7 linked regions of the Mus musculus genome follow. The protein of the gene in region 7 interacts with the protein of the main gene of each other region in a pairwise test. Links are inferred from orthologs where the notes say so. Each region holds a gene or a part of one and is shown on either strand. Other genes may lie near its edges.

What was found.
Region 1: the proteins of Ppp1ca (region 7) and Wbp11 interact in binary tests that used the Homo sapiens proteins (3 or more experiments, as listed by UniProt). The link is inferred for Mus musculus from reciprocal best matches to the Homo sapiens genes PPP1CA and WBP11.
Region 2: the proteins of Ppp1ca (region 7) and Ppp1r15b interact in binary tests that used the Homo sapiens proteins (3 or more experiments, as listed by UniProt). The link is inferred for Mus musculus from reciprocal best matches to the Homo sapiens genes PPP1CA and PPP1R15B.
Region 3: the proteins of Ppp1ca (region 7) and Phactr3 interact in a two-hybrid assay, tested with the Homo sapiens proteins (2 studies listed by BioGRID and IntAct). The link is inferred for Mus musculus from reciprocal best matches to the Homo sapiens genes PPP1CA and PHACTR3.
Region 4: the proteins of Ppp1ca (region 7) and Ppp1r9b interact in binary tests that used the Homo sapiens proteins (3 or more experiments, as listed by UniProt). The link is inferred for Mus musculus from reciprocal best matches to the Homo sapiens genes PPP1CA and PPP1R9B.
Region 5: the proteins of Ppp1ca (region 7) and Tor1aip1 interact in a two-hybrid assay, tested with the Homo sapiens proteins (2 studies listed by BioGRID and IntAct). The link is inferred for Mus musculus from reciprocal best matches to the Homo sapiens genes PPP1CA and TOR1AIP1.
Region 6: the proteins of Ppp1ca (region 7) and Csrnp1 interact in binary tests that used the Homo sapiens proteins (3 or more experiments, as listed by UniProt). The link is inferred for Mus musculus from reciprocal best matches to the Homo sapiens genes PPP1CA and CSRNP1.

What each region holds. Positions count from the first base shown.
Region 1 is NC_000072.6:136,817,888-136,821,835, forward strand, and holds part of Wbp11 (WW domain-binding protein 11), read right to left. Parts: intron 3,776-3,948; coding exon 3,642-3,775; intron 3,490-3,641; coding exon 3,290-3,489; intron 2,812-3,289; coding exon 2,620-2,811; intron 145-2,619; coding exon 43-144; intron 1-42. UniProt on the Homo sapiens protein: Activates pre-mRNA splicing. May inhibit PP1 phosphatase activity.
Region 2 is NC_000067.6:133,129,595-133,134,115, reverse strand, and holds the start of Ppp1r15b (protein phosphatase 1 regulatory subunit 15B), read right to left. Parts: upstream 2,951-4,521; 5' UTR 2,370-2,950; coding exon 501-2,369; intron 1-500. UniProt on the Homo sapiens protein: Maintains low levels of EIF2S1 phosphorylation in unstressed cells by promoting its dephosphorylation by PP1.
Region 3 is NC_000068.7:178,277,697-178,281,644, reverse strand, and holds part of Phactr3 (phosphatase and actin regulator 3), read right to left. Parts: intron 2,749-3,948; coding exon 2,539-2,748; intron 1-2,538.
Region 4 is NC_000077.6:95,003,979-95,007,520, reverse strand, and holds the end of Ppp1r9b (neurabin-2), read right to left. Parts: intron 2,961-3,542; coding exon 2,731-2,960; intron 2,501-2,730; coding exon 2,404-2,500; intron 2,217-2,403; coding exon 2,163-2,216; 3' UTR 623-2,162; downstream 1-622. UniProt on the Homo sapiens protein: Seems to act as a scaffold protein in multiple signaling pathways. Modulates excitatory synaptic transmission and dendritic spine morphology. Binds to actin filaments (F-actin) and shows cross-linking activity. Binds along the sides of the F-actin.
Region 5 is NC_000067.6:156,033,467-156,038,022, forward strand, and holds the start of Tor1aip1 (torsin-1A-interacting protein 1), read right to left. Parts: upstream 3,015-4,556; 5' UTR 2,770-3,014; coding exon 2,292-2,769; exon of another isoform or gene 2,198-2,291; intron 1,742-2,197; exon of another isoform or gene 1,724-1,741; coding exon of another isoform or gene 1,720-1,723; intron 1,352-1,719; exon of another isoform or gene 1,215-1,351; intron 335-1,214; coding exon 260-334; intron 1-259. UniProt on the Homo sapiens protein: Required for nuclear membrane integrity. Induces TOR1A and TOR1B ATPase activity and is required for their location on the nuclear membrane. Binds to A- and B-type lamins. Possible role in membrane attachment and assembly of the nuclear lamina.
Region 6 is NC_000075.6:119,970,275-119,973,839, forward strand, and holds the end of Csrnp1 (cysteine/serine-rich nuclear protein 1), read right to left. Parts: intron 3,405-3,565; coding exon 3,090-3,404; intron 2,938-3,089; coding exon 1,966-2,937; 3' UTR 889-1,965; downstream 1-888. UniProt on the Homo sapiens protein: Binds to the consensus sequence 5'-AGAGTG-3' and has transcriptional activator activity. May have a tumor-suppressor function. May play a role in apoptosis.
Region 7 is NC_000085.6:4,190,415-4,194,973, reverse strand, and holds the start of Ppp1ca (serine/threonine-protein phosphatase PP1-alpha catalytic subunit), read right to left. Parts: upstream 2,801-4,559; 5' UTR 2,758-2,800; coding exon 2,703-2,757; intron 2,230-2,702; coding exon 2,098-2,229; intron 1,953-2,097; coding exon 1,722-1,952; intron 1,208-1,721; coding exon 1,103-1,207; intron 508-1,102; coding exon 284-507; intron 203-283; coding exon 68-202; intron 1-67. Other genes in the region: Tbc1d10c (carabin), read left to right, coding at 4,165-4,310. UniProt on the Homo sapiens protein: Protein phosphatase that associates with over 200 regulatory proteins to form highly specific holoenzymes which dephosphorylate hundreds of biological targets.

The sequences.
Region 1 (3,948 bases), on a different chromosome or scaffold from region 7:
GCACAAGGAAATGCTAGAGATCCATTCCTTCTTGCTTCTAACCTGCCATTCGCAGCATCATGGCTTGAAGAGGAGTCAGCTCCTTCATGTTTTTCTTCTTCTTCCTTGATTTCCCAGGCATATCAGCAAATCTGACGCTTAGACCTAAACAGTCAAGAAAGGATGAAACGGGAAAGAATCATCAAATGTTGTAAAAATGGTCACCATAGAGCAGACGCTGTAAGTACTATGAATGACTGTAACCCATTACACGATACAAGGCAGATGTACAGGGACATTACAGGAAATCAGCGTTGTGCTAATTGGTTGCTTATGAAATATACTGCATTAACTTAAAACTTAATGTTCAGAAAATGTTAGGATACTTAAGAAGTATATAAACTGAATTAGATAATTCAATTTTAAGCCCTAAACATAAAAGCTGAAACGGTAAAGATGTATCTTAAAGCAACAATTTTCTTTAGCAATTCAGCAAAACAGTAAGTCACAGAAAAGATGAAAGCTGACCAACTCAGGAAACCAGCATACCCTATTAACCAACATAAAATATAACACAACTGAGTCTGACAGTGCTGGGTAAGGAAAATCGATCATAGCATGCAGGGTGCACCAAAAGTACCCAATGGTTTACACTAGAAAATTAGTAATCTAATCATGACAAAAGGCCCCATAAAAGGTGGGAAAATCTTAGTAATACTCTAACAGGTGATTAAAGATTATGATCGGTCCCCAACACCACTTCCACTACAGAATCTTTCAGTAACCCTGACAGATACTGCACTTCTGATCTGGTGTCTGACATCTTAGCCAACACTTAAGGAAGGGAATATTTATTTCTATGTGGGTTCAGCTTTAGTGTATCTTGGACTTTTACTGCCCAGAAAAATGCCTGGCTATGGTAAAGGCAGTAGCAGATGAGAGGACGTGCAGCTGGGCCAGCCATCTGAGGTCCACACACACTGGGGAACACAACGTTCAGTAGGAAGCAGCAGGTGGACTTCAGTCAGTTCAAGGCCAGTCAGTAAGTCCTGTGCTAGCCAAGGCTACACAGAAGACCCTGTCCCAGCGCCACCCCCCAGGACCTCAGCAGCAGCTGGCAGCCGCAGAGTAGAGAGAGGATGCAGTCTTACAGGGGAGTCCTGCACTTGGAGTTCTACCCCACTCTCCTTTCTAAGACCAGTTCCAACTTATGAGTCTTCTATAATTTTCCAAGATCAGGCTTGCTCCTACACCAATTTATGATAGTTTTTTGATAAGCTTTTCTTTCATTCGTAATCATGATTAAGGAGCACTAATGCATTCCAGAGGGCTCTGGACAACCCAGCTCTGAGGGATCTAGTGCCGTGTAGTCTCCAAGGCACACGCAAGTGTAGGAGGCACACAGACACACACAATTAAAAAAAAAAGAGAGTCACTTGCTGATCTTATAAATAAAACCACAGTATACAGATGCCGTCCTGGAGACTACAGCTACAGCCCCTAAGAAGCTCCCCGGCTACTAGGCTCTGACACACTCAGTGTGTGCTTGGCACTGCTTAGTACCCAAACACAGTGCTTAAAATTTTTGTGACAAAACGTAACATACAGTGTGCACACAATTGAGGACACAGCAGAACTGAATATATTTAATATACATCAAGTCTTAGGCTTACTCCCCAGCACTACACACACACACACACACACACACACACACATCTTTCTGAACGGTGCTTCACAGCTGACCCTTGGAGAACGGTTTGTTTACATGCAGGCCAAGTGCGCTACACAGGTGCTTTCCCAACCAGTGACCAGCTTTGAAGGAACAGGCGTATGGTTCTAAATACAAATACAGTGCAGACATATAGAAAAATACACTTTTATACATATACATAGTATATAATTATACATGTTAATGTAATGTGTGTATAGACACATATATGTATATAAAATATTTAATATATAATATACACACACATATATTATATATAAAATTACAAGTATATATGAATTACAAAGGTCACCCAGTTTATGAAAGGCCCCATGAAGAACAGAAAACCCAGCTCCCAGTGTAGACACGCACACAAGCTTATTTAAAACCATGCATGTTCTTCCTTTCCTACTGCACGTTCATCATAGAGTATATTAGCAATTTTTGCCTCAAAGTGGAATTTCTTGCATAACTTTTAAAAAACTACATATACTTACTCTTTCCTCACAAACACCTGTAAGAATAATATGTCAAAACCTTTCAAACTATCAAGACAAATAAATGGCCAGGTACGGTGGCTTATATTTATTTCTAACTCCACAACTTGGGAGGCTGAAGCAGGAGGGTCACCATGAGCTCGAGGCCAGCCTAATTAACAGTGATAGACACCCGTCTCAAAACCAAGCCAAACCAAACTGGAGCTAAAAGCTGGTCCTGAACTGGTGAGCTGGCTCACCAAACCTAATCACCCAAGCTGCATCCCCACCCCCTGTGCAGTGGATCGGGAAAACCAACTGGGACTGCCACATAGATGCTCTAGCACGCATGTACACTCGGGCGCGCACACACTGAACCTAATTAACAAAAGCCAGGGCTTTCAGCACCGGGGTCAGCGGTGTTCATCTACGCCCGGCACATTAACCCGCACACACCTGACTTCTTCTCCTCAGTGTTGTCGCGCTCACTGTCCTCGCGGTGCCCGAACTCATCCCCGTCACTCTCTGCATCTGACCTGTCAGTGTCACTGTCCTCAGTACTGTCATCATGCTTATCCTGATCCATGTCCTCAGGATAGCCGTCGTCTTCACTGGTGCTGGACATGTCATCGTCATGACCCCGCTGAGCTGATGACAGAAAGAGCACGAGAGTCACATGACACGGTTGGCCCTCTGGTATCCAAAAATAGGCATGCCATTTTGGCTCAACATTACTTGCAAAACATTTCTATATGCAATGCCAGCTACCATGTATTATGATGACATTTGCGTTGGGTAATAGTTTTAAATACTTTTTTGTTTTCTTGTAAGAAGTGCAAACACACTGTATTAGAAACAATTGTGTAAAGTCTCACACACAGTCAGTGACTCTTGTCAGCGCTGATGAAACTGAGAAGACCTCTTCCTGTCTTATGGGAACTGCAGCAACATTCTATCTAAGGTGCTTTCATCAGGCAGATGTGCTAAATTATCCACAGGGACACACAGCAGAAGAGCACAGCATCCTCATGGCGTTCCTGTGTTCTCCGTGTAGCAAACGTTAACTATGGTCAGCATGGAAGCAATACTGAGAAGGGCACGGGAGGAAACCCCTGCCCCTGCCTACCAAGCTCTGGACTATACAGCATGTCCTCATCTCGCCTCCGAGGGGGAAGATCTAGAGCGAAGCCCACTTTCCGGCCGTACATCTGCAGAACCTGAGGAGGAGGGGGGCCAGGTGGAGGGCCGGGCGGTTTTCTGCCAGGGGGCAAGCGGGGAACACCATGTCCCAGGAGAGGAAGGATAGACACGGCCCGAGCTGGAGGCCTGTGGAGGGGGAGAAGGACAGTGGCGCTGAGTGGCAGGAACCTTCTCCAGGCTCTCATGTCCCGTCCGCTCAGCCACAGCACCCCGTGCTGCTGCTGTGCTAGCCGGGCCTGCTCCTGCAGTCCACCCTCCATTATGTAAGGCTTCCTTACCCATACGCTGAGGTTTTCTTCAGGATGGAGGGGGGCTGTGCACCAGGAAGAGGAATGTCCTGGATCAAGATGTTGGAAGGAGCATGCGGCATGTCTGGCAAAGGGATGCTCTCTACTTCCACATGCTGAGCATTCTGAAACATACAGAAACCCAGTTGTATGGTGCTGAGCCATTCAACTCCTAGGACCAAAGTCTTCGGAATTTGTTTCCCAACTAACACTAAGACCATGAAAAGTGGCTCAAAGCCTCAAGCCAACACTTCTGAATTGAAAGAATATTAGTTTTTCTTAAAGAACCCAAATACAG
Region 2 (4,521 bases), on a different chromosome or scaffold from region 7:
CTTTAGCTAGTCTGGAACTCACTAGGTAGACCAGGCTAGACTCCAAAACTCCAGAACACCCACCTGCTTCTAAAGTACTGGAATTACAGGCACACACCACAGTACCACTTTCAGGGCAAACAACTGAACAAACCTAATTTGCTGCTTGCTAGTGTTATTCCTCTGGATTCCAATGGATAGGAATAAGGACACTGTAGCCATGAAAATAAAACATTATATACTTTCAAATAAAACACATGCAAAACCATTTCTAACTTTCAGGTTCCACCAACCAAAATGACACCCCTGCTAACATCTAATACTGGCACCTTTCATTTGGAGAAGAACATTTCTCTATATTGGGAAGAAGGATCACACTGGAGTATTTCTCAATTCAAGAACACCAGCTCAGATGCCTTCCTCAAAAATGTGCACAACTGTGCCTCCAGAGGCAAAGTCATGCTGCTATAGTAACCATATCAAAATAGAGCAAGTTATTAGTCATGTAAAAGGGAACAAACCTTTTTTCTCTTGATATGGGTGTATCTTTCTCCAGCAAGAGCCTCACCCAGCCCACAGCCTGGACAATTATCTTCTTGGCTCTCTAACAGCTGGGCCTTACAAGAAAGTAAGGTATGATGGCCAGAGAAGGCCACTGTAGCCTCAGAAGAGGCCTTTGAGTCCTGACGGCCTTTCCAATTCTTCCCTGACGGTTGAAAAGGAGCCTTAAAATTTAAAAGGTTGTAGGGGTCCTCAGAATGACAGAAAGAGTTCCACAATTTAAGATTCTCTGCTTCATCTGCACTCGGTTCCCAGTCATCTTCCTCCCCGGAACTATGGTCGGGGGTCTCCGGAAGGGGTCCCTCCTGACAGCTCCCTACACCACAGCTGCCAGACCAGGATGTCCCTGAATCTGATGGGTCTCTGGGGGCAATTCTGGCAGCCGTCTGAATCGTGGCTGTAAAGTTTTGGGGGTTGTAAGGATCTACACTGTGGAAAGAGTTCCAAAGGTGAAGGCCTTCCGAGTCCTGTTCCACGTCTGATTCAGACAGGGAGCCATCGCTATCAAAGCCATCGTCCTCAGGTTCCTCGCCCCAATCCTCACTTTCAGAATCAGAGCTGGCTTCCAAGTCACTGGGGGCGCCTCCCAAAATATAATCTATCAGTTTGTTGCTACAAACTGGTCTGGTAGAAACAGGAAGGCTCTCTCCTCTATCTGAGAGGTCAGTTGCATTAGTGTGGTCCTCTTCACATTCTTTTTCCACGGGTAATTCACAAAACAGACTGCTTCCCTGGGGGCTCTGTGAAACTTCTTGAATCACCAATTCTGGTTTTTTCTCAGTGGGCTCCGGCCTGTCTGCAGCAGGGGACACCGCCTGTGCTGGGTTATCTGTGCAATGTTGTGGGTCCATCCGGAGAAGGTTATGTTCCTCCTCCAGGCTATGATAGCCATTATCTTGGTCAGGGGTGGGTAACTCTTGCCCTTTGTTAGCCTGGAGGAATTCTAGCCGTTTCATACGAAGGTGGTGGATTTCCGGCAGGCCTTCTGTAGAGAGAGGCGGACACCTTCTCCAGGCGGTTGCCGACATCTCTGCCCGCAACGGCTGAGGGTGACAACCATCTTCAGAAAGATAGCAGCTCTCTGGGGTTAGTGTTCGGAAACCCACAAACTGGCCACCTCCAGCGCTGCTCTGACAGCGCAGCCCTAACTGGGGAAGGTAGTCCAGGTAGGAAGGGTTCAGGAGATAGGAAACTACCTTGAAATTACCTAAGCTCTGAACGCTCAGAGGCCCAGAGGATGAAGAGTCAAGTTCTCGGTGGGAGACTAGACCAGCTTGAAGGCTACTGGGCAGCAACTCCACTCCCCACAGCTGCTGCTCCAGGAGGAAAGTGGGCGCTGCAGAGTCTAAAGCTCTTTCCTGGGCCTTGAGTTTTAACTCCAGGTCTGAGGACGAGCACTGCCACTGGAGTCCCTCCTCTAGCCAATCAAGAGAACTGACAACCAAGTCTTCCGAAGAGTCCAGCCGCAGTGAACTCAGAGACTTCTGCACCGTGGGAGCGGCAGATTCCTCCCGTCCTCTCAAAGCTCTCAGGGCGCTGTAACTTGCGGCAAAATCTAGCCATCTGGTAGGAATCAGGCCCCCGAAAAGCTGGCTCCAAAGCAGCAGCTTCTGGAATAGGCTAGGGAGCAGGGCAAGGAGCTGAGAAAGCAATTTGGTCCAGTACCTGGTCCGACGCTCGGGCAGAGCGGAGTTCCCGGGATTTTGTCGAGAGGAAGGCGGCGGGAACTCCGAAGAGCAGGCGTGCGATCGCCGAAGGAAGGGCAGCCGGAACCAGGAGCCCAGCCGAGGGCCAGGCCGCTTCCGGGCCCTGTGCGTTCCTGTCTCCATCTCCTTTCCTTGGCGGCTTCTCAGACAGGAGGAGGACAGAGCTCAGCGGCGTCAGCGCAGGCTGGATCCGAGGTCTACACAGTCTCCGCCTTGCCCAGCCACGGAGTGGGTACTGCAGTCCGATTCCCGCGCCGGCAGAGGAGGCCCAGAGAGCGGCGGCTTCCGCAACGAGTGCTGCACCGGACGGCCCAGAGGCCCGCGCAAGCGGTGGCGACCGCGGTTAGGTCCATCCCGGCTAGGGAAGGAGACGTCCTAGGCCGTGTGAGATCGCTCCACCATAGAGAAGACCCTCCCTCGCGCGGCGGCGACGGAGACGACGGCGGCGTTTCCGGTGGCCCGCACGGAGGCGCGAAACGCCAAGGCGGAAAGGGTGGCTGGGTGGCAGGCGAGGGCGCAAAGAAGCGAAGCTCAAAATGGCCGCAGCCGCACACCCGGAAGCTGCAGGGCGAGACGGAGGACCGAGGGCGTCTACTCCCTACCGCCCAGCGGCGCCTCACGTCATTCGCCGAACCCCCACCCTTGCCTCCCGAGAGGCGGACTTGCCTCACCCTCGTGCGTGGCCTCTGATTGGCCGCGTCTGTGGTCCCTGTCGGCTTCCTTACTCGGGGTAGAGCGGGGCTCGCACGCGGCGAGTTGCATCAGCCGGACCTAGGATGTACGCTTGCGCAGTCAGTTCATTCTGGTCTCCTAGGAGACTCCGCGCCCCACCCTCTAGGTCAAAGGGAATGGCTGGGGAGGTGAGTGGGTTTCAAGAGAACCCGAGAATTCTCCCGAGCCCTTTTTTATGGATCCGATTGCTAGGCAAATTATCCGCTTATCTGACACGTGTATCGGTCTTCTCCTATTAAGGGCGTAGGAAGACTGGAGTGAAACGATGTAGGCAGTGCTGTATAACCAACTCGCCTGGTGCTAAGACACACATCATCCCTAGTGAATCATAGTGAAACTGAATCACTCACACATTCCTGTCCCCTCTGCTTTAGGATTTCTAAGTCTCTAGCATTGCCTGTGATCTAATTTGGACATCTTTCAGGGTCCATTTGACAAAATACCCCTCAGAAAGAAAAACGCGGTGTTACTAGCAAGCTGAAGTCACAGGTGGGAAGATAACTGTTAACTAACTCAGAAACAGCGCGTTCAATTCACTTATTTCCTCAGTAACAAGAGCCACAGAGTAGAGCATCCGGCGAAGGATAACACATTGGTGACTTTTGTCCTCTGAAAAATATTGGCTGATTAATTTTAATTACTGTAATAAGGGGAGGATTTTGTTTGTTTGAAACAGATTTTACTATGAAGCTCAGGCTGGCCTCAAACTAACCACAATCTTTCTGCCTCGGCCTTCCAACCAAGTACTGGCTGATTTATCTCTTACTAGTTTGGTTTCTTTCTTCCTTTTTTATTTTTATTTTTTTCTTTTCTTACTTATCTATTTATTTGTTTATTTGAGGCCGGGTCTCTCTACAGAGCCCTGACTGTTTGGAACTGGCGATGTAGACCAGGCTGGCCTTGAACTTATTAGTTCTGTCTCTTCCTCTCCAGCAAAGAGATTAAAGGCATGCACCACCATGCCTGGTCTTTAGTTCACTTTCTTATTCTCATTTTAATCCACAATGCAAAGACCAAGTGGCTATCACAGAGCGTAGTGGTTACACTAAGGAGGAGAATCTTGCTGCCCTGGGGGAGGGTCAGCTGATCCTCATGACTTGTTGAGCAAGGAACAAGCTCTTTCTTCCCTGAAACCAAGAGTTTTTACTGTTTACGCCCCCACAACATCTTATTACTTGTGTCTGGCAGTAACTGGTTTCTTAATCCTAAAAGCTTTAGGAAAACGTAATTAGCAATGAGTCGTTTTTTTCATAGTAGCAGGAGGTCCGAGTATGCAAATAAGTTACTTCGGGCTTCAGTTCCTTTTGGGGTGAAGCCGAGAGGATCATCTAACCGCTGGGTGAGGGGCTGTATCCCCAGGCAGAGAGGGTAGGAACACAAACACTAGCTAATATTCTGCTCTCGTTCTTCTTTACAATCCTCCATTGTTTACCACTGCCTACAAAATAAAGAAAGGCTCTGTTCAGCCTGCGCTGCCCGAATGCTCTCCAGCCTTCGCTTCTGCGGCTCCTCCTCTGGAGCACAGGACTTGTCCTTCCTCCGA
Region 3 (3,948 bases), on a different chromosome or scaffold from region 7:
CACAAATGTATGGGGCCAGAAATCTACCCTACAAATCCAGAAGCAGGCCCTTGCCAAACTTCAAGTGGGTTGGCAGTAGCCCAACCCAGAACTTACAGCCTCTAGGACTGTGAGAGATAAACCTGTTGCTGACAGGTTACTCTGCCATTGTAACTCAGGTAGATGCAGACCTCGGGTCCTGGTGTCAGGCTAGGATGTACCTCATCCACCTCCCCAGTACCAAGGAGACAAGCACAAGACAGGAACGCTGTCTGAGTCTGTCACCTAGTGTTCACGAGTGGAAACAACATGTCCCAGGAAGCAAAGGAAAAGACTGGACACCAAAGGCCACTTAGGTTCCAGACAGAAGTCCTGAGCTCATGGCCACCTTCCTATTTAGACCACTCAGGACCCTGATGCCTCTGAGTCCCTTCCATGGAGACAAGGGTGAGATGACAGGTGTGGACAGACTGGCTGTGGACAGATCCTGGGGACCCAGAGGGAGTGGATAAGGCAGTTAGTGAGGCAAATGTTCACAGCCTGCAGTGGGAGTCTCTCAAGTGGAAAGGAAACAGAGTCTACAGACTATCAGACCTGTGGTGCTTTCTGTAGGGGAAAGGGGGGGAGGCATGTGGTGTTCCATCAAGTGATTCTGAAATACTTCAGATGTCAAAATTGGGAAAGGGGAGTTATTGCAAACATAGAAACCAAACACTAAAGGGTATTGGTTTGCCTCAAATTTTTCACTCTGTGGTCATCCCAGTCAGCAACTCATTTCCAGCGATGTAGAGAGCAGAGTTCTGATTCTTCATTCATCACCTTAGTCAACTGCCTACACCCACTGCGTGTCTGGTACAATGACTGCACCTGCATCTGATTGCGAATGCAGAGACCAAGGGCCTTTGGAGACAGGGCCTAGAGCAACAACCTGGTGGCTTCAAACAACAGGACAGCTCACTCTACCCCAGCGGCCAGACATCTAGAATCAGGGTGAGGGCAGAGTGACCTCTCCTGAAGAGTAAGGAGGAACAGTCATCCTCCTGAGCCCTCTCATCTTCCTTGTGCCAGCGGCTGACACACCAGCCTGTCAAGCACTCTCCTGTGCAAACCAGGATGAGGCAAGTATATGTAGTGATTTTAATGAGAATAGCCCTCCCTGGGTTCAAATATTTGCAGGCACAATCCCTACTTAGCAGAACTGTGTGGGAAGGACTAGGAGGTGTGGCCATTGAGGTTTAAAAAGCTCACACCAGGTTCAGCATAAGGATATAAGTAAGCTCTCAAGCTGCCTGCTTGCCTGCCATCACGCCTCTGCCATGATAACTAAGGACTAAGCCTCGGACTCTATGAACAGGCCCTCAGATAAAAGCTTTATTTTATAAGCATTGCTGTGGTCATGATGTCTCTTCACAGCTATTAAGTGACATCAGTGTAAGACAATGATACTGTTGCTAGCCCCACGAGAGACCTGAGAGAGCCTGTGGCAGCTGCTGCTCTCCCTGCTGCTGGTGGTCGCTGTTGTGGTTTGTTAAGCGGTTGTAAGCCAAGAGACAAGAAAAGAAGTTGAAGATATCCTGATGACCAAGATTGGTCTTGCCCCCAAGAAACCTAACACCCCTAATCAGCAGGAAGTAGTCTAAAGAGGTCTAGGGGTCTACACCTCTTTCCCCTCTAATCTATTTTCTCTCCTACCTGGTGTTGGGGGGTTGGAAGGGATTAGGGTGGGATAAAGATTGGAAGGGTAGTGGATATAAGAACCTAATAAAGTAGTCAAAAAAAGTAGACCCGCATGTGTAGTGCCTGTCCACAGAGTAAGCGGCTACACTGAGCTGGGCTTTGCTCTCTAGTGTCCACTACTTCCAAGGGAGCATGTGGGAATGCGCTCTAAAAATTAGCCGGTGATAGCCTGCCTCCCTGTGAGACAGAGGTGCCTGGCCCTGAAGGCTTGATGAGTAAATGTTGACTCTGCAGCGAGTCCCCTGTGAGGCCAGGGCTGCGGTGAGAAGGTGAGGATAGCACAGTGGTTGATGACAATGGGTTTTTTTTTTTTTGCCCAACTGTGTTGCCACAGGAAGGGCCAGTGCCGACTCCTGGCTCTTCCCTGATGCATAGATGGAGCTGTTGTGAAGGAGAAAATGGGCATTCCGGGGCATTCATGGGAGCAGCAGAAACACTACAGACAACCATGTGTTAGCAGAGAAAGTGCCACCCTGAGGGCTGGCTATATACTCTGGATTCAGAGTCTAGAAGATTTCTCCTCTGACTGTTGCAGGACCCTCCCTTCTGTCAAAGAGTGTCCAAGCAGTCTGCAGTCAACAACTATGGCCTTCTGGGAACTCTTTTTGTGGCCTGCAGGGACAGGGTGCTGAGGCAATGACAAGAGTCAGCCTGGAGCTGGTGTAGGCATGATGGTTTGAAGATATGGATGGACAGACAGACAGACAGGTGGACAGACAGATGGACAGATGAATGGATGGATGGATGAATAGGTAGATCGATGAATGGATAAATGGGTGGATTGGTGGATGGGTGGATGGATGGGAGGACAAGCAGACTCACCTGTGACATTTTTTGTGGCTTTAGAGCTGGCCTTGGGTGGCGGGGTGGGCAGCAGTGGAGGGCTGGGGAGCTGGCTCACAGATCTCTCCAGGGATCTGGGAGGACTGTCCAGGGAGTCAGACCCAGCTAAGGCTTGAGAGGGCTCATCAGTGGTGGGCAGGAGGCTGCCAGCGTCTGCTTCTTCCGCAGTGGATGCAGACGGTATATTGGCTGGTTCGAAGGCAAAATGGAATAATTAGAGGAGGCTGCCATAGCATGGTTAAGAGAGAACAAGACTGGGGACAAATGGTATCTTGTCTTGATGGTGGGAAGACACTGATCCTCCATGTGTGGACTTAATTACCTTCACATTCAGTGAACAAGAGACCATGAGAAATAGGGAGTCAGGAAGTCACTTCAGGCACAGGTGACCACGTCCCTCCTCATTCAGTAGCCTGGACCCCTCACACTTGCAAGCATGCCATATTTTTTTGTTTGGGTTTGGGGTTTTTTGTTTATTTTTTGTTTGTTTGTTTTTGTTTTTCGAGACATGGTTTCTCTGTGTAGCCCTGACTGTCCTGGAACTCACTCTGTAGACCAGGCTGGCCTCGAACTCAGAAATCAGCCTGCCTCTGCCTCCCAAGTGCTGGGATTAAAGGCATGCACCACCACTGCCCGGCTAAGCATGCCATCTTGATAGATTCTAGAGTCAGAGAAGCTTGGTGTGCACGTTGGCTTGGCTTTAACTAAACCTCTGTGTACATCTTACTTGTAGTGACTTCCTGATAGTGACCCACATCAGTGGTAATGCCCTTGTACAGGACTAGTTCAAGGTTTTAAAGGAAGGGACAATGAGGCTATGCGTGCTTGTGCTCACCTGCTGTCTCAAGGGATCCCAGGTTTCGAGCCAGGCTAGGCTACACCATGAAACTATGTCTCAAAATCAAGAGAAGCAGGAGTAACAGCTTCATCAAAAGGCAGGGGTGACATCTACACTAACATCTGGTACATCGAGACCCTTGTGCCAACAGCTGTGATTTTTCTGTGTGGGTAATTGATGCCCTATCCCTGGCATACAAATCTAGGAGAGAAAGTAGAGTCAGGAAGATGGGACTTCCAGGAAAGGCCAGCCTTCCAGAGCCCTGTCCTCTCTGCAGTTGCTCATCTGTGAGCATCCATTGACAGCTCTATTTTCTCCTGATCCACCACCAGCTTCCTCTTGCTACTCTTTATAAACCAGCACAGGCCCACTGTCATCCCAACAGTCTTGCATCCTCTGCTCAGCTTCCTGCTTCCTGAGCCCTGGGGAAGGTCCCTCTCTGGATGAAACTACTACCCATGTGCTTGGGTCAAGAGCTATAGAAGATAGTGATGTGGAGAACCTGTTCATCCCCACCCTACACAGGATCCAGCCTGGGCCTCTCCTGCAGG
Region 4 (3,542 bases), on a different chromosome or scaffold from region 7:
ACCAAAGAGCCTGGAGACGGGGCCTTTTGCTTATCACAGAAGGAAAGATGAGAATCACCCCCCAACCCCACCCCAAGCTACTGAACATATTTGCCTCCCAAGGATCTGTACAAGAAATGGCTGTGTTGTGTACTGCAGAAGTCTCATTACAATTCACTTCTGCGACTCACCAAAACTGATTCCTGGAACTGAGAGCTAGCTAAGGGGGCAGCTAGGACTATATGAGGCCTCTCAAGCCAGCTCAGGAGGGCCAAAGAACATTCTCTTTGACCGTGAGGACAATGCTCTGACAACTTATCTCCTAGGGAATCTTTGGTCCTCCTGGTACTTTGAGACCTCTGGGGTCTTGCAGATTGCTCGGTTTTCAGGGAAGGGGAGTTGCTTTCCCTGTGTGCAGCCCATCCCTGGCTACTCTAAAGACCTCGTGAAAAACAGACCTAAAGACATCGTCTAGAGAGCTCAAGAAAACTAGGGAGTGGTGGCAAGTGAGTTTGCTGGGGTCGGAGAACCGAACCAGCATTAAGATCCTCTCTAGATCATGTGCAAAATTAGTAAAAGGAGAGGACTTTCTAGCATCTCTTCCCCTCCCCACTCCAGCGCATCAAGAAACCAGGCGACGAGGCTCTGGGGGCTGCTTTTATGGGGACGACCTGACAGAGGGCATGGTCCGTACAAAACCAGGAACAATACATACATATATATATTATATACAGAGACGGGGTCCTCCAAGGGCGGGGCAGGAGCGCTGCCGGTCAAAACCGGAAGTACATCGAGGACCCGCCCACCCGGCTCCACCCCCTCCATCTGCCTGGGTGAAGTGCAGGGGCCGGGCACAGTGACAGCCAGCTCTTTCCGGGGAGTCGGGGGCACGTCTAGGGACGGAAGAGACGGGCAAGAAATACTGATTGATGGCATGGTCTATTTACAGGGGACTCGGAGAAACCGAAAAGGATAGAACTGGGTCGTTTTCAAAAGAAGAAAAAAAGGAACAGAAATTTAGGCTTAGGGCAAGGGTGGTAATGTGGAAGTGGCAAGAGATGGATTCTGAAAGGGGAGGGTACCTGAGGGGGTCTCACCTCCCTTGGTCCAAGCCCCAATTTGGGGTTAAAGTGGGGAAACTGAGTCAATTTCACTTAGAAAGCAGGCTGACAGCAAGCAGCCCTGGTCTCCAAAAAGATTAGTAAAATTTTGCCCTCCAGTGAAAACGTTGGAAAACAGCGGGGGAGGGGAAGAGGGGAGGCAGAGTCTCCTCGATGGTAATACAAGGCCTCCAGGTGTGGCCCTAGGCAGGGCCTAGCTCCCCAGGGAGAGCTCTGCAGGCACACCATCTAAGCTGACCTCCCTCCCTCCTGGCATTCCTGGGCTAGACCAAGGAAACCAGAAGCCCAGAGTGGCCTCAGGGCAGTTCCAGGAGGACGCCTATGGCTGTTTGGCACCTGGGAGAGGGGAGGCACAAGGAGAAGTTGAGGGCTGTTGCCCTTCCTAGGAAAGGGGTGCTGGACCCCAGGTGTGCTGGACTGACCCTTCCCCCGACGCCCAATCACCTCCCCCTGAAGGATACAAATCAGTGCAGGCCCAGGCCCAGCCTCTGGCTCAAGGGTGGGCTCTATCCCTCCTGGGATGGGGAGCAGGGGTGGGAGATGTTGAGGCAACCCCTCCAAGCAGGAGGCCAGAATGCAACAGACAGCACAATGATGGGGGAAGAGGAAAGGGCCAAGAACGGAGAATCTCAAGTCAAGAGGCCCAGGGGCCATACGGACCCTGTGGGCAGGGAGCAGCCTCCAAGTGGTGAGATGCTGGGAGAGCCCCAGCTCCACTCCGGTCCAGAGACACAGGCTGGAGGTTATAAAGTCTGGCAGTTTGGTCTGCAGGTCCTCGTGTCCATCCACCACCCAGGCCAGCTCTTAGCTTCTCTCGGCCTCTGCGCCTCAGCCCCACAGGGCAAGGAGACCACTCTTCCAGCCAGCATTGTCTGCCCTGGCCACCCTAAAGGGGCCTGTAATATGGGCCCTCTGGTCCCTGAAGCTGGGGGAGGTGGGGTGGAGGAGTAGGGGAAGTCGGGGCACCTGTCCCCAGGCTGGTAGGGGTGGGGTGGGGATTGAGGACAGGGGGTGAGGATAATGGGAGGGGATTATTATTGTCCGGCCAAGGAGTTATTCCTGTTAAGTAGAATTGGAGTTCCTCAGTGTCTGCAGGTTTCCTTCCAGTTCTGAGATCTAGAGAACAAAGAGAGGAGGCATCAGGCCTGGCCACTCAGCACGGGCCCTGTAACTTTACCCCCACCCTAAGCTACGACCCTGAGCTCCCAGCCAGCACCACAATCCTTCCCAAACACCATGGATTAAGTGAGTACTGGATTCCAGCTTCCATGCTGCTCACTCTGTAGGCTGCCCAGGGCGCTACCTTGTCCAGAAGTTTGTCCATTTCCTCCTTCCTGGCTAGCTCCGACTCTTCCAGTACCCGACGCTGGGCTGTCTCTTTTTTCAGGAACTCGATCTCCCTGGAGACAGGCAAGGAACAGATGGTGGGTTCGGGTGAATGGTGTGGCTTTGGTCCAGAGAGAAGCAGGCTTTCCCAAGGCCCATAGGGCTGAGTCTGGTACCCCATCGTGGTGCCCTCTAACTCTGTGTCCACTGTCTCCCTCCTCAGCGGGAGGAAGGCTGGGGTGGGGACTACCACTAAAGGCCCCTCCACCTGCCTGGGCCTAGACCCAACGCTCTTGACACATACTTTTGCTGGTAGTCCTTGATGAGACGCTTGGCCTTGCTGTACTTGCGCTCCAGGGCCTGATACTGGGCCTGGGTCTCCCGCAGGTGCTCATCCACAGCCTGGCACAGGCTCTGGGCCTCACCCCAGTAGCCCTCTAGCTTCTCCATCCGCTCCTTATTCTCCTCCACGCTCTGCTCCAGCTGGGCCTTCTCTACCCGCCAGCGCCCTTTCTCCTGCTCCAGACTCTGCAACTGTGAGAAAAGAGCAGCCCTGGGTTGGAGGAGACCAGAGTGAGCCCTGGGGGGAGCCAACAGCTTCTAAGGATTCCTGCACTCTTGGAGCCAACTGGCCCCCAGCTACTAATTCTCTGAGGCTGACCTTAGAGTTCTGCTAGGGGCGGTAGCAGGCACCCATGAGTCACCACCAATTAGCAACTTCTGCCTTATCCTAAAGATGGGAGTGACATGCCTCAGGGCTAGGGAGATGGTAGCTACGAAAGACAGTCACCACCAGACCAGCTCTGAGCCAGCCCTCTGTAGCCCTGGTTTGTTGACCAGTCCCTATCTTTGGAGATTCCTGAATAATCCAGCCCCTTTCCAGCTCCCAGGGGACTGGATTCCTGACAGCTCAGTCTGCATTCTGCTCTCTGTAGCTTCAAACAGCAGCACCTCACACAGCAGTTCTATGCACAGAGCCCCAAGTCCTGAGCTCCCGCAGGATCCTGTACCTAATCTAGACCCACCTCGAAGTCTGAGGTACCATGCCCCAAACGGCACTGTTCCCTGGACCCCCCCCCCCCCCAGCCTGAGCCTGCTCTTATCACTTCCCTGCCT
Region 5 (4,556 bases), on a different chromosome or scaffold from region 7:
GACTCACAAACCTCTTGTGATTGACCGACTGATTGATTGATGTACGTTTTTTCCAGGCAGGGTTTCTCTGTGTAACAGCCCTAGCTATCCTGGAACTCTCTTTGTAGACCAGGCTGGCCTTGAACTCCTAGAGTTCCGCCTGCCTCTGCCTCCCATGTGCTGGGATTACAGTCATATGCCACCACGCCCAGCTTGAGCTGTGATTCTTCATGAGTCTTTGGCAGGAAAAGAGAAAACCAAAAGACCAAACTCTTCTTACCTGAAGCCTCTGGTGTTCTAAGAGTTTTCTTTGAGGCTGTTTGGCTTGTAACAGGTCGGGAAGAAGGTTCATCCTCTACAGCACCAACAAGAGGTAAAATTCAAGTTAGATGACCTGGGAGAGACCATGGCACACAGTATGCATATTTACCAGTAATCTATACAGAGAGATGCAAGTATTCAACTTCTCTAGGTTCAAAACTTGGGAATTAAACCAGTTAGAAATCCTATTAAGACAGAGTATGATGAGGGCTGGGGAGAGTTCAGTGTTTACGGGCATTTGCTGCTCTTTCCGAGGACTTCCGAAGTCCAAAAGGCTTACGATATTCTGTAGCTTCAGCTCCAAGGGACCCAACACCATCTTCTGGCTTCCAAGGCTACCTGTACTCACGTGCACATACTCACACAGGTACGTGCAGCTGCAAACCATGGAAGTGAAACAACATACAAACCACTACTTGTTGCTTTACGACAAAAATGCTACTTTAGCAAGTTAAAAGGTTAGGCCCTTGGTCCTGTGAAGGCTCTATGCCCCAGTGTAGGGGAATGCCAGGGCCAGGGAGAGGGATTGGATTGGTTGGGGGGGGGGGGGGATATAGGGGAGTTTTCGGAGGGGAAATGAGGAAAGGGGATAACATTTGAAATGTAAATAAAGAAAATATAAAAAATTAAAAGGTAGGTTCAAGAGTCAGGTAAAAGAAATGTTTAAATCCTCTAAAAATGTATAAAAGGTAAACTGAATTTAGGTGCAGGAGGCTCTGTGGGAAAGTCAATAAAAAGTAACAGTTACATTGCCTCCCATGTGCAAACACTGTCTCAGTTTCTGAGACAGAATTAACACAAGTACCTAAATTTCGACCAGGCATACATGCGTGACAGGTTCCTTTTTTTTTCTCCCAACTTTGCCATCTTAAAAGAAATGCTGACATGTATAAGCAAATAAACTGTCTCCTTACATCCAAAAGAGCATGCACATCTCTAGCATAAAGTTTCCCAAATGAACAGATCTTCAAGTGTGTCAGGACTTTAAGGGCAAGTAGGTAAATCTGCAAGCCAGTTTACTGTGCTCTAAGCTTTAAATCCACTCCTGTTCAGATGCATCAAATGTATTAGGGAGGCCATCCCACTGTGACTCTAACCCTCAGAATTTTACCTCATAATTAGGTGACTGACATGGGGCTTACTGGAACCACCTGTGACTCAGTTATATCCGAGTGCAGGGAATAAGAGGATGGCTTGAAGAATTTGGTTCATCTGTGTGACTTAACTAAAACTATAGTACACACCCTGTTGGCATCTGGGGCTTCATATATAAGCTTTACTAATAAATAGAACCTTGTTTTGTTTCAGTAGTTTGTCAGTCTTGACTTGTTTAGCTACTTAAGATTACCGTGATGGCCTCCAATCTGGGGGGAAAGTCTGGCAGAGACCAGACTCTGTATTTGGAGTAATGTCACCAACCCATTCATTAAAGTCAGCTACTCCTCGTAGCATCCGCCTAGAAATGATCTCGTTTTCCCAATCTTGGTGAAAAAAAAAAAAAACGAAAGAAACCGACTGGAAAGTTAACTTAAAAACAGGATTTTCAGCTGGGGACTTGGGGCCCCCGAGATTTAAAAAAAAAAAAAAAAAAAAAAAAAAGGAAATGGAAGTGGCTTCAGTAGAAACTTCAGAGGACGGAAATGAAACCGAGCGCAGAGTAGTTTGGGGCTCCGACAATGGCTTAGCCGCCGACCTCTAGCAAAAGCCTACAGAAAGAGGAGACCTAGACCCCCCAAACTGAAGCTCCAGGACTAGGCAGAGCTGCCCGCCTCCGCTCGGGTCACTTCGCACCACCACCTTCCCGCGCGGCCCACTGCGTCCTTCCCTCTTGAGGGTCCGGGTGGACTCAATCCGGGAGTGCGCGCCCAAAGGGCCGCAGAAATCACCAGGACCCAGGCGGGGCCGGAGCGGGGCCGGCCTCCACGGGGGCGCGCCTGCCGCCGCGTGCCCGCCGCCGCGCGCGCTCCCGAGCCCGCAGCCGAGACTGTTACCTTCGCGGTCCTCACTGGAGGACGGAGAGTCCCGTAACCCTCGGCCGCTCGTGGCCGGAGACAGCTGCGGCTGCTGTGAGTGCTGCTCAAGGCGAGCAGACCTCCGCGTCTTCATCTCCTCGGCTTCCTGGGCTCGCCGCTGCCTCCGTGGTCGAGAGCGAAGGTTGTAAGCGCTTTCTCTCACTTCCTCTCCCGCAGAAGCCGGCCGGAACTTTTCTGGCGGGGTTCGTCTCCCCCCCGGAGACCTTTCTTTGGCCGCCCGGGGCTCGAAGTCGCCGTACACTTCTGCCGGCTCCTCTGAAAACCTCACTTCCCGTCGTCCGCGGCGCGACGGGTGAGCTCCGTACGCAGGCGCGTCACTGCTGTCGCCATTTCGCGGGTCGAGCCTCCGCCTTCCCTCCCGGATGGGGGCTCTGGGTGTGACGTAGATGGCCCAACCTTCTCCGGGCCCCTCGGCCTGCCACCTTTCTCCCGCCATAGTTGTTTACGTAGCTGGTAGTCGGTTCGTGGCGATAGATTGGCCGCAGATAGATTCCGCTGCGGGTAGTGGCGATGGCTTCGGGGAGGTTGTCGCAGTGGTCAGGGAGGCAGTTGAGAGTCGCCGGGGCCGCCGCCTGCGTCCTCGCTCGTGTGCCACCAACCAGCCTCCAGGCCCATGGTGTGTCCTGAGGGCTGTCGGAGAGGCAGTGCCCGAGCTGGGTCAGCTGCTGCGGGTCACTCCCGCCTCCTGGCTGAAGGCACCAAAGAGGAGGAGAAGGGGGAGGAGGACGTCTCTGTCCTTGGCCTTGGAGGGAAAGGTGGGGGCGACCAGGAGGTGGTAGGACAAGTGGCCTGTGCCAAGCTGCTGATGGCCAGTTGCCCACCACCGGGGGCGCTGGTCCTGGCTCCCAGAGGCTTTGGGAAAGGGCAAGTTTCAGTCCTTGATCCCAAGCTGTTGCGCAGTTCCCCTGCTACTTTGGCCACTCCTTTTCAAATGTCCCTGGGAGGAGAAATGATCAGAAAGGCAATTCTGCATGTCATCTTATGGCGAAAATTATAGTTTCATGGACCTTTATGAAATTGCTTTTACCCAGTTTAAAATTTTTATTCACCTGTTGACCCTTTAAAATTGTGTTTAGTTACACTCTTGGGGTGTGTTTCCATTTTTGAGTCGTAGCCATATCAACCATATTCTTGAATTTTCACGTGAATGGTATACCAATAAGCTATACCCTAGCCCTAAAAAAAAAAAAAATCGATTTTGAGTTTTTATTTGGAAGCCACATAACAGTGATTTTGAAAAAAAACTTAAAAGTATTTGCCTTTTTCCAGTATTTTAAATAATGACCTTAAGTTGTTACTCAAACTTAGACAAATTCCCAGTTACTAGAATTTTCACAAATAGTCTATAAATTTGGTCAGCAACACAGATGACTCAAGAGTCATGTTTGGAGCTTCATTTAGCATTGTTTATTAACTACAAAGAAGGGGAGCCATAAGGAGACAGCTGCCCTTTTTTTAAAGATGTGTGTGTGTGTGTGTGTGTGTGTGTAAGTGAGTGAAAGGAGGGAGGGAGGGTGATCTCTGCCTGTCCTGGAACTGTAGACTAGACTGGCCTCAGCCTCACAGAGATCAACCTGCCGCTGCTCCCCAAACGCTAGGATTAAGGGTGTGGGCCACCACACTTGGTAGCACTTTTTTAGAAAACAAAACTTAAGGAAAAACGAAAGTGATACTCATTCGTGGTAGCCTGAAAACTGGGTGTGGCTTTTTTTTTTCTACAAAACGCTGAGAAGTACTGATAACTTGGTAATGTTTGGCTTGTGTCTTTTCCAGTAATGCTTTGTTTGTAAAGTGCCTATTTACACAGTCAACAATCACAAAAATTCTTTAATAGATGTACAGCAGTGAAAGGATATAAATTTTTGTAGTGTTTATATTCTAAGCTCATAAGGCAGTGTGTGCAACAGATGACTAAAGACACCTGGGTGCTGGCTTGTTAAACTCTGGTTTGAAGGATACATGAAAAAGAAAGTGAAGAGGTTCTATACATAATTGGTCAATCAGAGAAAATGAGAGGTTACAAAGATTATTGGATAATTGGCATGTGCTTTGTTTTGTAATTAAAAGTACTTATAAAGTAGTTTTATGAGTGGCTTTTTCAAAGAAAAAATAAGGATGTTAAAGTTTAGAGGCAGTTAACTTCGCATTTAACATAGATTTGCTTAGGATTTTTCCCTCTTGCCTAGGTCATAGGTATGTGTCATCTTTAGAAGCTGTCACCCA
Region 6 (3,565 bases), on a different chromosome or scaffold from region 7:
GTGAGAGGGGACAGGACAACAGGATGTTGCAGGGCACTTTATCCAGTCACAGGTACTCATGCCCAACTACAGGCAGCCCGCCAAGTCCTCGGCCCCCTGGTGGTCACTGGTGTTGCCATGAGGTCACATCCAGAAAAAGCAGGTCAAAAGCAGGTCACAAACATAAAAACAGAATCATGACCCAGGCACTCAAGGCACATGAACCAAGCCAGTTTGAGAGGAGCAGCAATCGCTTGCATGGGATTGGAGAGATCCAGGCTCTAGGCAGGCAATCTACATAACCTATGCCTCACTAGGCAGCGAGAGCTGGGACTGCATCCATTCTTCTGGGTAGAATACAGTAGAGGGGCTTTAGCACAGGAAGGCTCTCCTGTGGTCATTCTCCAGAGGGCCTGTGCAAATCACTAGCAGTCAGGCTCCAGACAGAGGTTCCCCAAAACGGGGTACGGCAGCCTGCTCTGCACCCCTGACCTTAAACCCTATTCTGGCTGCCTCAGGACAGGTCTGGCAGGTCTGGCAGGTAGAGACAGTTCTGGAGCTCAAGTCCCCAGGGACTACAGCTGCCTGAGCAGCCTGTCACCAGGCCAGGCCTCCACTAGGCTAGGCTGCCCTCCCTGGGCCTGAGCAGACAGCTCTGCCTCCTTACAACTCCAGATGGCATCATGGAGGAATGGGTTAATTCAGAGGGGAAAAAAAAAAAACTGTTCCACTTGCCCAGCCAACCTCAGCTGGCTCTCTGCCTACAGCCTGACTGGCCCGCCTGGAAGAAAGCCCAACATGCTGTCCTCCTGCCTCAGTACAGCTTCTGTCCATGCTACATGATAGTGCCCCACCCCACATGCTTCCTGGGGGTACCCCACACTCCCCACCTCACCAAGAAGACCACACTTAAAAATAGAGCATCTTTATTGGTACCTGTCAGCTCAGGTACAGTGTGTTCCCACAAGCACACAGGCTGGCAAGGCCTCCTGGGCAAGGAGGCAGGCCCAGAGCCTGCGTTTCTTGGCACACACACACACACAAAGAAATGAATAAATTATAGTTCTGACACTTAGAGACAATAAAAAAATGCATATAAAATCCAACATCAGCTAATGAAGGGCGTAAGAGCTCTCAAGAGCCACCAGTTGCCAACTGGCCTGGGGGCGTGAGGTGGGCCAGGGTCGAGTCAGTGCCCAGAAAGGCCTGAGACAGTGATCAGGGTGTGCTTCATGCCCTCTTAGGGCCCCTGGCTCACCATCTTACAGAGGGGCTTTATAATCCATGGCCTTGGGGAGAGGGAATTGGAAAGAGGGCAAGTAGAGTTTCTGGGAAGGGGGCAGAAGGGGTTTTGGTCACCGCTGGTCAAGCACAGCCTCTGTCTGCTCAGTTGAGCCAGGCCGCTGTTTAATAGAGCAGCCATAAACTCGAACCCACACACCACACCGAAGCCCAGACTGGCAGGGTACACCGAAGCCTCGGCCCCAACACTGCCTGCCCACCCGCCAGAGAGGCTCCACCACTGCCGTCTCCATCCCCAAATAAATTACAGATATAAATTACATCTTCACAGTCCAGAAGACCTAGCTCCTATGGTTCACAGAAGCCCCTAAGGCCCTGCGCTCAGCCGTCGCTGTCTTTGGAGCAAGGAGCATCTTACAGTACAGAAAGAGGGACTGCGAGGCTCCAGGAGAGCCCCGCCCCTTCCTCCTTCAGGCATACAGTAGGAGGTGGAAGACCTCTGTTTGGACATAAAGAGACCAGGCATTGAAAGAGGGGTACCCTCCCCACCCTCCCTTCTTCAGTACAGAAAAACATAAAAAAATAAATAAATTCAGAGTGTTAATGTAAAAATAGAGGGTGCCCACATGGCACCATGAGCAGGACCAGCCCGTAGGAGACCGTTACATACATAGACCTCGGGGAACCCCAAGATCACAAAGAGCAGCAACAGGGTCTCAGGGCAGGAAGAAGGCACCTTAATCCTTACACTGGCACAGGCTCCAACAAAGGTGCCAAGGCAGCATCCTCAAACTGGCTCTCCAGAAGGGGTGCCAGGACTTCTGTAACCGGCTCAGACAGGCCCACGAGAGACTCCAGGAAGCAAGTGCTCGCATCCCGTGGTGGAGAGAAGCTGGGCAATGGGTGGAAGGTCTCAAGGCTATCCGGGCTGCCCGACACCCTTCGGGAAGTATAGTGAGGTCCCAGACTATAATCTGGCAGAGCCTGGAGAAGCTCAAAGGAGTCACAGGAGGATAAGCTGAGGTCCCAGGAGCTGCTCTGGACGGCGTCCCCCTCAGGGGACCCAGAACTGCCAGGGAGGCTACCTTCTCTCAGCCCTCCAAGTCCGCTGTTCAGGAAGCAACTGGCGTCCAGGTTGGCATTCTCATCTAGGATGCCCGATGCGAGGCTAGAGCCAGACTGGCTGTGAGTCCAGCTGGCCAGGCTGCCGGGGTCACCGGTACCAAAGATGTCAGCCAGATGGAAGCAGCTGAGGTTATCCAAGTTGCCCACACCCCCTCCCTCCTCCTCCTCCTCCTCAATTCCGAGGTCAGAGTCACTGAAATTCAGGATCTGTTCCAGGCTGTCTTCATCTACGCCAGACCGGAAGCTGGGACCTGGCAGGCTGGGGTGGGCAGGGTGGTTTGGAGGCTCGCTGCTGCCAGAGGACAAGGTCGTGGAAGAGTCTGTCATATCGCTGCTGCAACTGCTGTCCCCCAGTTCACTGCTCACAGGGGGCTTGGAAGGCGGAAAGGGGGAAAGCGCGGCTTGTTCAACAGGAGTGTCCTCCACGGGGGACTCCAGGTCCCCCAAGCTCTCGGCACCCTGCTCCATCTGCAGGCGGGTGAGGGTGTGAATGAAGTGCGTCTGAACTCTTGTCTGATTGAATTCCACTCGACCATTGGGGTTCTCGCAGCCCTCCCTGCAGCAGCCACAGGGGAAGGACGTGTGATCCATCTGCAGAGAAAGACAAAGCCAAAGTGAGAACTTCGGAGATGCAAGAAGCCAGCAGGCCCGGCTCCCCACAGACAGGGCTTCCCTGTGTAGCCCTGCCCGAGTACTGGGATTATAGGCACACCCCCCTTATCTTACCCAGTCCGACCACGCACCTGGCACTTAATGCCGGCCAAGCTGCAACTGCAGGTCTCAGGGTCACAGACGCCATCACAGTGACAACCACAATCCTCCCGGGACTGGCGCAGCACCTGCAGCTCCCGCTTCTCCTCTCGGTCAATCCTTCGAACGCCGGAAGCCCGAAGGAGAGCCCGTCGCTGCCGAGGTGGATGGGGCTGGAGGAAATTGGCTTCCTCCAGGCGGCCATTTGCCACGGCCACTGCCAAGTCCTCCTCTACAGAGGCGTCATCGATGGCATCCGCTGTGAGAGGCACGCCTGCCCCTGACTCCGGAACTCCAGCCACTGAAAACTATAAGTACAGAAAGACGGTGTGAGAGAGAGAGAGATTTAGCTCTCCCAGAGAGTGGGGTGCTGTCTGTGGGGGAGGGGTACACACTGTGCTCCACAGCTACAAGGATCTCTTACTCAAACCCCGATGTACTGGCAGTGTCAGATCAGTCTAGCCGGCTG
Region 7 (4,559 bases):
GAAAACACTCATCAGGGTCCTGGGGTTGAGCCAGGCGTCTATTGGGCAGCCTCTTCCCCACACCCACCTGGAAGGAACACATGAGGGTCTCATCCACACTCATCATGGCACCAGCATTGTCAAACTCTCCACAGTAGTTGGGAGCTGAGAAGAGTGTCACCAACTGTCTCTTGGCAAAGAACTCATAGCCATCTTCTACAACCTGGGCCAGGGCAGGAACGGTTTAGTCTGTAAGTTAGGCACCCCACCCCCACCCCCAGCCCGCCCCAGGCCACCAGCCCACCTGATGTGCTCTGCAGATGAGGTCCAAATCATGCTTGTGCAGGAACTTGGCTACCACCTCAGCCCCAAAGGTAAAGGAGACACCACGGTCATTCTCGCCCCAGCCTTGAACATCCTTGTCAGGGTCAGACCACAGGAGATCACACAGTAGGCCCTGGTCAGGCACGTCTGTGGGCCGCATAATACGCCTAATCTGCTCCATGGATTGCAAGTCTGGAGACAGGCCTGGGGGTGGTGGAGTGGGAATAGTGTTCCTTAAACCAAGTGCTGTCCTGTGCCCAGCTCTGGGGTGGGACAGCTCCACTGTTCCCACCGCTAATCTGGGCTCCTTAAGTTCAGGGAGACAGAATCCATTACTTCCCCACTGGCCCCATTTCTCTGTGGCCTTGGCTGTCCTGGAACTCACTTTATATGACACCACCACTTAGAAGTACAGATAGCAGACCTCGGGGGTGGGGGGGCAGAAGGAGATTAATGAGTTGACTACAGGATGCCTCATGCCACAACAGGAAAGAGTGCAACCAAACTGGTGGGTGGAGCATGCCTTTAATCCCATCACTTGGGAGTCAGAGATAGGCAGGAGCTCTAGTGAGTTCAAGGCCAACCAGGTCTACAAAGTGAGTTCCAGGACTGTCAGGGTTTTACCCAGAAAGCCAGTCTCAAAAACAAACGGGGGTGTGGTAATCTCCCCTAATAAGCGATATCCAAGATGAGATTCAAGGAGCGCTATTCCAGGGAACTGAGAAGAGTTCTGTTAACTTTACAAGGCCCCTAAGGATGTGGCCCAAGAACCCAAGCACAGACCCACAACCACTCTCACCCCCGTGGCAGCAGAAGATCTTCTCATCCACAATGGCTGCAATGGGCAGGCAGTTGAAGCAGTCAGTGAACGTCTTCCACAGTTTGATGTTGTATCTTCTCTTGCCTGCGCAAAAGGAAGCGGCTCATAGGGAAGACTACACCCCCAACCCCCAACCCCAGTCTAGGTTTCTGTGCACCCATCCAGGGACAAAGCTGAGAAAAAAAGACCGAAAAGCAAAGAAAGCTTACATTCTTCTCTTTGCTCTACCCTCATCTACCTTCCAGAATTCCAACACCTGAACTCGTCTGGCCCAACCATGATGGTGGTACCCACTCTGGTCCCATGGATGAGGCCAAACCAGGAGTGGGTCTGTTTTATTCATACAGGCATCCTAAATGTTTACTAAGGAATGTACTAGAAGGGGGTGTCATCAGGCAGGGCTGTGGCTTTAGCAAATGGGCAGCCCTGCATGTACATCCATTCACCAGGCCCCTCCTGAGCGCCAAGGACGACAGACGTGTTGCTGGGGCCCTACAGGGCTCATCATTGGGGGTCTTTTGGCACTAGACCAATGTAGGGGGCCCATGAAGAGCAGGGAATGTAGTTCTGGGCAGACAGCAACATTCAAAGCACTTACATTCATCATAGAAGCCATAAATGCGGTTGATGCTGGCACACTCATGGTTCCCACGAAGTAGAAAGAAATTCTCCGGGTATCTGATCTTATAGGCCAGCAACAGGCAGATGGTCTCCAAAGACTGCTTGCCCCGATCTACATAATCCCCCAAGAAGAGGTAGTTGCTCTCTGGAGGGAAGCCACCATACTCAAACAGCCGTAGAAGGTCATAGTACTGGCCATGGATGTCACCTGGGAACCAGAGAAAACTAGGTAGGTGCAAGATGTAAACTTGACCCCAGGGCCAGCAATAGGTTAAAGGGTGGAGGAACACGGTTAATGGGGCACGAGTAGGGGCTATTTTCAGGAAGCAAAAGGGTTCTGTGCAAGGATTTACCACAGATCTTGAGGGGCGCCTCAAGCTCCAGAAGAATGGGCTGGCTCAGGAAAATCTCCCGGGATTTGAGGCACAGACCACGGATCTCGTTCTCTGTCAGCTGCACGTTCTTCCCAGGCCGTGAGCCCTGCACTGAGTACGGAATAGGGTCTTGGGACCCTGACCTCGCAGACCGGACGAGGGTAGGTGTCGCGCCCCCCTAACAGGGGCAACTGTTGCAAGTGAGCCCCCACCCCCTCACCCCGAAACCTTTGCGTCAGGCCTTCAAAGGCAAGATCCGACCCCTTAGCCACCCGGAGGGCCTCCAGAGAAACGCCTGTGCTCAGCAGCCTGTCAGCCGAAGCTTCCTCGCTTCGGGATCCCTTCCCAGCTAGCTTCGCAGGAGCCTCACCCTGAGTCCCGGGCACTCGTGCACCCCCGGCCTCTGAGCGCGCTCCAAAGCCCAGGCGCCCGCGGGGGGGGGGGGTGCCGTGGCCATGGATCCTCACGGCCTGTCCCCGCCCAAGCGACGCTAGCCCCCGGGAGCGGCGGGCCGCCCGCGCGCCACTTCCAGACGGCGAGGGGCCCGGGCTCGGCGCGAGCGCACCTTCCCTACCCCTGCCCACCTTCCAGCAGGCGCCCGATGATGGAGTCCAGGTTGAGCTTCTCGCTGTCGGACATGGCGGCGCCGCCGCTCCGGCCCACCAGCTCCGGGCCCTCTCCTGCCTCCCGCCCTCTTACAGCCTCCTTCCGGCCTGGCTCTCCTTCCGCCCTCCCCAGCCCGCCCCCGGCCCGCCGCCCCTCCTCTTCGGTCGACCGCCCCGCCCCGCCCTGCCGCGTCCGTAGTTCCCCGCTCTCTAGCGCCTCCCCTGGACGGGAAGCTCCGCAGCCCGAGAGGGCCTCGGGCGAGCGGGCGGGGCTGGCAGGGGTGGTGAGCCGGGGTTCGGTAGGGCGGGGTTAGGTCGGCTCCACCCTGGAGGAATCGCCCTGCCGCGTTCAGATGAGTTAGGGCCGGAAGTACTGTAGGAATTGTTTTTCTCTTTCCAAGTCTCTCCCACCCCAGCCCTGCGTGGGACTGTGGTATGAGCATGTTAATCGCTGACTTCTCAAACACTAAATAAATTCCTCGAAGTGCAGAAAAAGAAACTAAGGCTTAATGATACTGAGAGTGGGCTCCAGACCTCCGGAGCCTCACATTCACCTCCATCTTTATGGCCAGACCCATGAACACCTGCTACTGAACTCTAAGCAGTGTTTTGGTCCAGGTTGCCTTGGTGCCTGCTACGTCCATTTTTTTTCCATAAGTGATGTAATACGTTGTATCTCGTTCATGTTGTAAGTCCTTTGTAGAGTACTTGGACTTGTCTAGCATGTGCAAGGCCTGAGGTTCCAGCTCCGGCTCTGGAAGGAACATTAAAGTAGGCTTGGTGTCGTAAACCTATAATTCCAGTGCCTGAAATTCCTGCACTCAGGAGTCTGGACACAGGAGGATCAGAAGTTCAGGGTCATCTCCTGTCTGGGCTACATAAGACCCTGTTCTCACACTACCCCTTCACTCTCAAAACAAAACAAAACAAAAAACCCGGGGCAGGGGGTTGGAGGGGTGGGATGACATTAAAGGATAATTATTATTGGAACCATAAATTGGTTTTACTTGGTAAAACTGAAGGTGGCCTGTCATCTTCAATTTGGGCCAGCCAGGGAATCAATACACCCAGCATCCTCTGGATGGGAGGAGGTCGTGGCTCTGGCACTAGGGCAAGCAGGAAGAACCTCACAGAGGAAGGGGGGAGTCCCCCCACCAGGGAGGGGCCCCCAGCAAGCTGCTGAGCTGAGACTGAGGAGGAAGTGAGAAGAAGAGGTGAGGTGCAGCAAGGAGGTGAGCCGGGCTGCTGGGGTAGGGGCCAGGCTTGGGGCTGGGGCTCTGCACAGAGACTTGGTCTCAGGGTCTACCCGACTCCCCAGCAAAAGAGGGGGCTTAGTCCCCTGTGACTGAGGACTGGTGGCTGGAATCCCCAGCCTGAGTCTGGCTGTTCACACTGGCTCTCTGTATGTCTTGCAGCCTGTGACACTGGGGTCCAGGGCAGAATGGCCCAGGCCCTGGGAGAGGACTTGTTATCAGAACTACAGGATGATTCTAGCTCCCTAGGGTCTGACTCAGAGCTGAGTGGGCCCAGTCCATATCGCCAGGCTGACCGTTATGGCTTCATTGGGGGCAACTCAGGTGAACTGAGGTGAGTGAGGCATGGGTAGGGGAGAGAGTAGGGTCCAGAGACTGAGGACACTAGCCCAAAACTCAGCTGCTGGTGTCACTGCTCGGTTCCGCGTGGTGGGGTGGGGGTGGGGGTGGGGTGTGCTTTATCTCTTTATCCTCTGACGATCTGTACCTTCCCCTAAAGCTGAACATCCTTTCCCTTTTAACCTCTGGTCCAAGAACCCCAGATGGAAATTTGGATGTCTTCTCTTCTCCAGGTTTCCCTTAC